Sus scrofa: one gene and its partner. The protein of the gene in region 1 purifies or fractionates together with the protein of each later gene. This does not show direct contact. Links are inferred from orthologs where the notes say so. Each region holds a gene or a part of one and is shown on either strand. Other genes may lie near its edges.

Region 1 (3,803 bases):
GTACTGAGACAGGGGAAAGGATGGAATGACCTCAGCCTAGGATGTCTGGTGTCCTGTGAGTCAGGAGCATCTGACTCGTCATGGGGCCAGCTGCCCCCTGCTGAGGAAGGCATAGGAAAAGAGGGAACAAGCCTATTGGAATGGCTCTTTTTTGGAGCCAGTTTCCATGCTACAGTGGCGTGGGTTAAAGGCGGAACTGAATGAGGAGCATAGGCTTTATTCTGTCCACTTCCCAAAAGCTCCAGAGCCAATGGATTCAAGATTTTTTTTTCAGTGTAGTATAATGTTTGTAATTTACATGTTAATGCTACAAAATTCCTCACCCTCTCCCCCAGAATTTACACCCGGCTTCTTGTGTTATTTCCCCTCAAAGGCAGGGTCTCCTATAACTGCTGCCCCAAAGAAGGCCTTCTCTGTTTGTTGGTAATAAGCATTTTCCTCATTCGCAGTCAAAGGACTGATGTATATGAACAGAAACCAGACCTCAGGGAGACCTTATGGTAAAAGAAATGGGGTTCAGGTCATCTTTTTTGGCAGGCATGGGAAAAATTCCTTTCTGTGGGCCAAGGACAAAGAATCAGGGGAAAAGAAGGACTGACTTTGGTGGGTGGTAATTATAAATGAAACTGGGAATTGGATGGGCAAAAACAATACAGTGGGAGTTCCCGTCGTGGCTCAGGGGTTAACGAGTCCGACTAGGAACCATGAGGTTGTGGGTTCAATCCCTGGCCTCGCTCATTGGGTTAAGAGTCCTTGCTCAGTGAGCTATAGTGTAGGTTGCAGACGCGGCTCGGATCCCGCGTCGATGTAGCTGTGGTGTAGGCCAGTGGCTACAGCTCTAATTAGACCCCTAGCCTGGGAACCTCCATATGCCGTAGGATTGGCCCTAGAAAAGGCAAAAAGACAAAAAAAAAAAAAAAAAAAAAAAAAAAAGATACAGTGAAGAACCAGGTCCTTGGAGTTGTCCATCTTCCCTGTGCACTAGAATATGCTTGTCCCGCTGCTTGTCTCGGCCCCTCTCCTTCCTTCCATGCCTTGTCAAGGGCTAAGCTCTGTCAGTGTCTCCTGCTCCTCAGAGCTCCTTATCAGTCGTGTGCAAGCCAGAATACCTCCCTTCCCTTCCCTCCCCTCCCCTAAGGAAAACAGAATAAGTAACTCTCTTCCCCTGGCTCTGTACACACACCCAACACTTTCCTCTCCAAGATTTCTGGCCTCTGCTGATAGTCTCAACCCTGAGGAAGGAGGGGGAGAGGAATGATGTATCACCCTGCATCCCTGCCCCATGTTTCTGGGAATTGTTCTGGAACATCCTTTGCCAGCATCTTGTCCACTTCCACCCACAATCCTTCAAGGCCTCTGGTCACTTCCTACCCCAAAGCCAGAGAGCCTGGGAGAGGGGAGAGCCCTGGAGGAGCCACACTGTGTGGAAACAAACAGAGGTGGGTGTATGAGCGGCCATTTACCGGAATGGGTCTGTGTCAACCCCCTAGGTTCAGCAGCAATTTGGAAGGATGGGCAGATACAAGAGCAGAGGTGAGCTGAGATGGAAGAGAGAACCACGTCCCCACTTTAAGGCTGATGAGAACCAGGCAGATAGATGAAGTCACCTCCACACACACACACAATTCCTATTTCAGAGCTTGGGAAGTGGGGGCCCCTGTGAAATAACTCCAGTCAGGGAGGGTAGATGTCTTCCAGGGAATATATGAGGCTACCTTTGTCTGTTTGTTTAGTTCTGACAAGACAAGAACTGGTGGTTTTCATCTCTCATCCCAGGAAAACCTGAGCAGCTCATTCCCCAGCATCTTCCAGTCCCAGGCTCAACTAGCAGCGGGTGAAAGGGTTTGCTAATCACCCACTGCTCCATCCAGGCCAGTGACAAATGCTTCTCTCCTCTGGCAAGCCAGGTCATGGCTTCAGAGGACAGGGCTATGGGAACGCCTTAGGGGAGAGGAGAAAAAACCCTGAGAGGTTTAAAGCGGACCTTGGCAGAAATCTTAGTGGAATTTGCTTTGTGGTGCCCAGAAAAAGCAGGTTGGGGTTGGAGGATGTAGACAGAATTGTAGTCTCTAATTAAACATTCAGCAAGAGACTTAAAAGAGCCAAATGCTGGATAGAGCTGCTAAGGGTAGAATGGGGTGCAGGATCAATTCAAGCAGGAAAGACTCAGTTTAGACACAAGAAGGGACTTCTGGCAGTAAGGGGGCTTCAGCTCTCAAACTAAAATCATAGAAAGAGGTAGCAGAACACTTTTTTCCAAGTCTGAAATGTAGTCCTGCAGGGAGAATATAACTGTATCTTTGCCTAGAGAGGTGGATGATTTAAGTAGCTTCTCAAGCCCCGGGAGCTAGGTTGAGTTGTCACTTCGGAAGGAGGAAGGAGGGGTAGGAACTGCAGGTGTATTTTTCACTCTGTCTCAACAAACTCAACAAACTCAACACAGGGGCTGCTCTTTCTATGGTGCTGAAGCTCCTGAAATGAAGGCGCTAGATGAGTCTCTTCCCAGTAGTATATATTAGAGGAAGGTGCCAGGTGGGATAAGAAAGCAACAACGTAAACATTAGATGGCAAGGAGCACAGAGGCCGCCCTTCATTCCCTCCAGACATCGCTGATACCGGCCCTGCCTTTACCTCCTTCCTCTGGACACTCAAGGGCCATCCGGGTCTTGCTTACTTCAGGATGATAGGATTAAACTATTAGCCCCCGTATCTGTGTCCTTTGAAGGACAAAGTGGGGGTCATAGTGAAGAGAGACCTCCTGGAACTCCAGACACGGTCGCTTGGCTGAGGGGAGTGGGGACCGGGGGTTTCCGTGGAAACCTGCCTGAGGGGTCAGGCCTCTGTGGGCCTCCGATAGAACAGCCTTTTCCCACCCCCTTCTCAGCCTTCTTCGGGTTCTCAAAACTGGTCTAAATTAACAACTTAGGGGAAGGGACTAAGAAGTTTTATCCTTATCACCTTACCTCCAACCCTCCCCTAGGTAAAAGATGAGAAAAATATTCAAGAAGTGTTTGACCTGAGTGACTATGAGAAGTGTGAAGAGCTCCGGAAATCCAAGAGCAGGAGCAAGAAGAACCATAGCAAGTTCACTCTTGCCCACTCCAAACAGCCCGGGAACACGGTCCGTTCCCCCTACCACCTTGGCAACTGGATCATTGACGGGGCCCGGGGTGGGGGGGCTGGGGGGGCTTGGGAGAACACCTTCCCCTTTGGGATCTCTCAGCTCTCTTGGCGGAGATGCTGAATGATTGCTCTCCTGCCATGGCTTTTATCATTTAACCTGAGAATATTGTGGCCATTTCCTTCCATCCAGGCAAGCCAGCCTTTAAACCGTCCTTCCACAAAGATCCTCTCTCTCTCCCTCTCTCTGTCTGTCTGCCTCTCTTTCTCTCTGTCTCTCTCTCTGTCTTTCTGTCTCTCTCGCTCTCTCACACACACACACCTCTCTTGGGTGACAGTCCCTTTTCCCTGTACCCTGGTTGAAATTTTTAATCTAATTTCCCTTGTCTGTGGGAACCCAGGGACATTCTGTTTCTTCAAACATTTAAAGATTTTGGAGTGGAAAAATAAAAAAAAAAAAAAAAAAAAAAAAGATTTTGGAGTTCCCGTCATAGCTCAATGGAAACGAATCTGACTAGTATTCATGAGGATGCAGCTTCGATCCCTGGCCTTGCTCGGCAGGTTAAGGATCTGGCATGGCTGTGGTGTAGGCCGGCAGCTACAGCTCCAATGTGACCCCTAGCCTGGGAACCTCCATGTGCCACAAGTGCGGCCCTAAAAAAACAAACAAAAAAACATTTGCG
Region 2 (4,515 bases), on another chromosome or scaffold:
CACCACCTCTTCTATCCTACCCCAACTGTCTTCCTTGGTTTATTAGCCAGAATATTCAAGTAAGGGATAAACGGAATAATAAGCTGTTAGAAACTACTTAAAAGCCTAGGGGATACTAAGAACAAGTTATTGAGAGAATGAGTGTGAAATCCAAGAGGCTAAGTTCAAGACACACCCCAAAAGGGAGCACTCCAAGCTGTTTCCCTCAGTGCCAGGTAGTGTTCTGGGCCCGAGGGACACAGACATGGAAAAGACAAGGCAAAAATCCCTGTCCTCAAAGAGCTCACGTTAAATAAGCCTGCATCACCATCCTACTGTTTCCCTATGAAATGACATCTCTATGTAAAGGACCCAGTATACAACCAAAAGTCAGTAAGTGCTGCTCTCTTGCCATCTCTGAGCACCTATCATCATGTTTTCTACAGTGTCCTTCACATCCTCAACACAAAAGCAGCCTGGGACAATGGAAGGGACACAGCTTAGAGCCCGCCAGATGTGCTTCCATCAATGGAGCACATCTTGAGTATGGTACCCCATACCCGGAGCCTCAGCTTCTTCACCTGTAAAATGGGGACAGCAACTATCTCAAGTTTTAGTGGGCATAGGCCTCGTGGCGCAGTGTTAACGATCCGATAGAACATGCGTGCGGTTCGATCCTGCCTGTCAGTTAACATCGGCGTGCCGGAGCTGTGGTAGGGCAGACGGCCGACCGAGTGCTGTGGCTCTGGCTAGCTGCAGCTACACTCCATAGACACAAACTCAAGCCAGAAAAAAAAAAAAAAAAAAAAAAAAAAAAAAACAACACATCAAGAAATGTTTGCCTTTTTCCTCCACCCTTTCCATAGTACTTTCAGACTGTCCAAATCAGACCAAAATACAGGACTCTTGAGAAGCCTCATGTATCATATCCCTCCTGGGCATAAACAGGCATTTTCTCATCCCATTTGGAGACTCAAGCACTCAGAGACGTGGCAAGAGGCTCCTCCCCCACCACCAGCCCTCCTATGATGCCAGAAATGCCGCCTCCAGCAGCCCCACCTGGCCACCCAACCATCCTCTCCTGCTTTTGCCCCGACAGCAAATCTATACTCTGCTTTTCAAGTCCTCACCCAAAACTGTCCTGGAGAAGTCCTTCCCCATCCAGGCCTGGGGCTGGGCCACTTCTCATGTGGCCAATTCTCTGCTGATGCTATCAGAGAAGCCCAATTACAGCGGGCACGTTTTAAATCAACGTACAGGAAAGCATTAAGAAAAAACTCAGGCACTCTGAATTAGTCACCCTAGTTCAGCAGCAACAGCCCTTCCTTAAACAAGGAACTGAGAGCCTCAAAACCCTTTGGGGCCCAAAGTCCACATGTAAACATCTGCCTGCACCCGGCAGGAGCAGGTGGCTGGCCTGAGTCTCAGTCCACTCTCCAAAGGCTCCTTGGCCACGTGAGGGAGAAGCCCTCTGGCCCTTCCAACCTGGGCGCTGGGCCTGCCCTGCAGAAGGTTCCAAAGCGAAGGGAGGGTAGAGGGCTCACGTGTCAGGGTCTAGGTGAAACCTCTGGCCAGTCGGAGCGCCCCCAGAGCACCTGCCCTCATTACCAAAACAAACAGCACAGGCCGAGCGAACTCTCTCCCTCGGAGTCTGGCTCACCTGATCCGTGGCACCTCCATAATCAGCAGTTCCAACCCTCACGAGCTGACAGTTGAGGGGGAAAGGGAGGCTGCGCCTGCTAGGGTGCATCGTGTCCGGGCCGTCTGGTGGCCTCAGAGCCCGGGGGCCCCCAAGGGCGGCAGCCTCACAAGGGCGATTGTGCGTTCATCCCTGTGCCGCCGGCTCCCCCACCCACATCCCTTCGCACCCGCTCACGCCCCATCGCCCTGGACCCTGGTCGTCCGGCCGGACGCTCCGCCAGTACCGCACCCCGCGGCACCGAGGCGGCGGCCAGGGGAAGGGCCCGAAGAGCGCCCCGCTGCCTTCCGGGCACACGGATGCCCGCCCTGCCCTCGCTCGCTCCCAGGAGGCCTCCCAGAAAAGGGGCACCCCTCCAACCTGATACGGCACAGCCCCGGGACCCCCATCCCCACCCGAGCTGGAGAGCCGCTCTCGCTTCCCAGTGGTAGCAAAGAAGGTTCGCCCCAGGTAGAGGCGAGGGGACCACCTGGGTAGGGAGCAGGGCCCAGGAGGGAGGGTAAAGCCCAGGAGAGAGCGGGGCTGACGCAAGCTACGCCAAGAGTGGTGAGAAGTCCGGAGAAGAGAATCGGGGCGGGGGACGGGGGACGGTGTGACGTCCAGGCCGGGGCCAGGGGTGGAAAAGAGGGGTCCAGACTTAAACCACGGCGGGAAGAGAAGATTTAGGCTGAAGTCATGCAGGAGAGAGGAACCAATGTGGGCTGAGGCCACTGGAGGACGGGTTAACGGGGGTCTGGACTGAGGTCACCGAGAAGAGGGGAGGTAGGGGACAGAGGCCTAGCCAGGGCTATGGGAGGAAATAAAGACGGCCTAGCTTGGGCCGTAGGGACGGGGGATGGGGACCTGGCCTGGGCCAAGAGGAGAAAGAAGGACCACGCCTGGGTCCTTGTAGGGGGTGCCTGGCCTGGACCACGGGTCCAGGAGGGTCTACCCTGGGCCATGGGGGAGATTAGCCTACACCCAGCGGTGGAGTATGAGACGCTAGCTTGAGCCAACAGCGGGGGCTAGGAGCAAGAGGCAGAGTCGCTGCACACCTAAGCCGCCCAGGCCGGTGGCCCCTTCTGGAGCGGATGAGGATGGTGTCTACCTGGGCTCCGGGACCTCGCCCCTCCCCCACCCGGTGAACCCACCCTTCCCGGGCCGGGGGTGGGCGGGAGGAGGGGGACGCGAGCTCCAGTGGGGCTCCCAGGCCTGGGGGAAGGGGAGCGTCGGGCCTTTACCATGGTGGCGGCGGCGGCGGCGGTCCCGTCCCGGCGTCTGTGGCTCTCCCCCCCGCAGCAGGGCCCGGCGCTTCCACTTCCCCGGGTGCCCAGGAGTGAACATCCGGGTCAGCGCCCCCCTCCCCCCGCGCCGGGCCGCCGCCACCTTCCTTCCCCGCCCCGGCCCAGCCTGGGCCCGCCCCCCACGCAGCCGGCTCTCGGCCAATGAGCGCGCAGGGCCGCGGCGATCGCCAAGTATGGAGCTCGGCGAGGGGGAGGAGCAGAGAACGGGGAAGTGAGGGGCGGGGCTTGCGAGCGGGGCGGGGCGCAGCGGTCGGCGGGACGGGTGGGCGGGTCCGGGGGTCCTGGGGAGGGTACTCACTGCAGCTCCGGCCCCGAGCGGCCTTCTGCGTGTAGCCAGATCCAACCCGGGTCCTGTGGGTGCAGCTGCGGGTGGTGGCAGAGGGACGGTGCCCGCAGGCCTCCGGGCGAGGATGCGGAAGGCACTGGGGCTGGGAGGGGTCAGTCCCTCCCCGCCCCACCCAGTGCACGCGCTTGCTCCTGCGGCGGACCCGGAACTGGTGCGGCCCGCGGAGCCAGCCCTTCCCTGAGAGAGCGTAGTGAGCGAACCTCAGATGGAATCCCAGCACTGCCGCTTGTTCCGTGTGGGACCTGGAGCAAGTCACTGCACTTGAGCCGGATCTCTAAAAAATCAGCCTCAGGTCACACCAGTCACTGAGCACCGGCCGTACGTATACAGGCCGGTATACCAGGTGACATGTAAAGATGCTCTCACAACTACCTGCTGCAGGAATGATATTAGGACGACACAGTAGAAATTAGAAAACCCGGCCCAATAAATGTTACATGTTGAGGGTATTTTTAGATGTGCTGCAGAGAACCCACCCATTTGCCCAGTAGGGCTACCTCATTCCACGGTGACTCAGAAATTCTTTTTTTTCTCTCTCTCTCCTTCTTCATTCAACAAATATTTATTAGGCCTGGTCTAGAAGGCAGGAGACCTGGGACGCTAGCCCTGCTAATAATAACTGCCTTCCCTAGCTTGCTCTCTCTTTTGTGAGATTTAAATCAGGCCCCTATGAGAGGACTAAGTGTAAAGTGTTGCACGAAGGACAGAAATGAGGACCACAAACCAGGCTGTGACCCAGACCCCCATCCTCAGGTAACTCATAGTGGAGGAACAGCTGCCACTGGCATAAAAGTAGTTCAGCTAAGTCCCACAAGAGTGATACAGACCTGTATTACAGGAATTCAGAGAAAGGGCGTGGCACTTTGGAATTTTCACTTGGTGTAAGTATTTATTGAGCATCTACCCTGTAAGGAGCACTGCTCTGGGCTCTAAGTTTAGAGCAATGAACAGGACAGTCCATGTTGTTGCAGAGCTTGGACCAGGGGAAGGGGAGACAATCAGCTACTAAATAGATACAGTGTCAGGTGGTGATTAGAGATGTGGAGGAAAATCAGAGGGAGGCAGGCAGATGAACAAAGTGGGGCCAGAGGAGGCCTGATTTAGAAAGTAACACTTGATCAGAGGGAGGCACAAGGAACAGCAAGGGAAAAGAGCTCATGGGGACAGGCCCTGGGGTGTTCATGGCCCAAGGAGGCTGAGGTGGCTAG

What was found.
Region 2: the proteins of PLEKHO1 (region 1) and CAPZB purify together in Homo sapiens (co-immunoprecipitation; 3 studies listed by BioGRID and IntAct, counting the BioPlex papers as one, with this or other methods). This does not show direct contact. The link is inferred for Sus scrofa from reciprocal best matches to the Homo sapiens genes PLEKHO1 and CAPZB.

Annotation. Positions count from the first base shown.
Region 1 is NC_010446.5:98,927,849-98,931,651, reverse strand, and holds part of PLEKHO1 (pleckstrin homology domain-containing family O member 1), read left to right. Parts: intron 1-2,980; coding exon 2,981-3,121; intron 3,122-3,803. UniProt on the Homo sapiens protein: Plays a role in the regulation of the actin cytoskeleton through its interactions with actin capping protein (CP).
Region 2 is NC_010448.4:77,909,615-77,914,129, forward strand, and holds the start of CAPZB (F-actin-capping protein subunit beta), read right to left. Parts: upstream 3,004-4,515; 5' UTR 2,902-3,003; coding exon 2,899-2,901; intron 1-2,898. UniProt on the Homo sapiens protein: F-actin-capping proteins bind in a Ca(2+)-independent manner to the fast growing ends of actin filaments (barbed end) thereby blocking the exchange of subunits at these ends.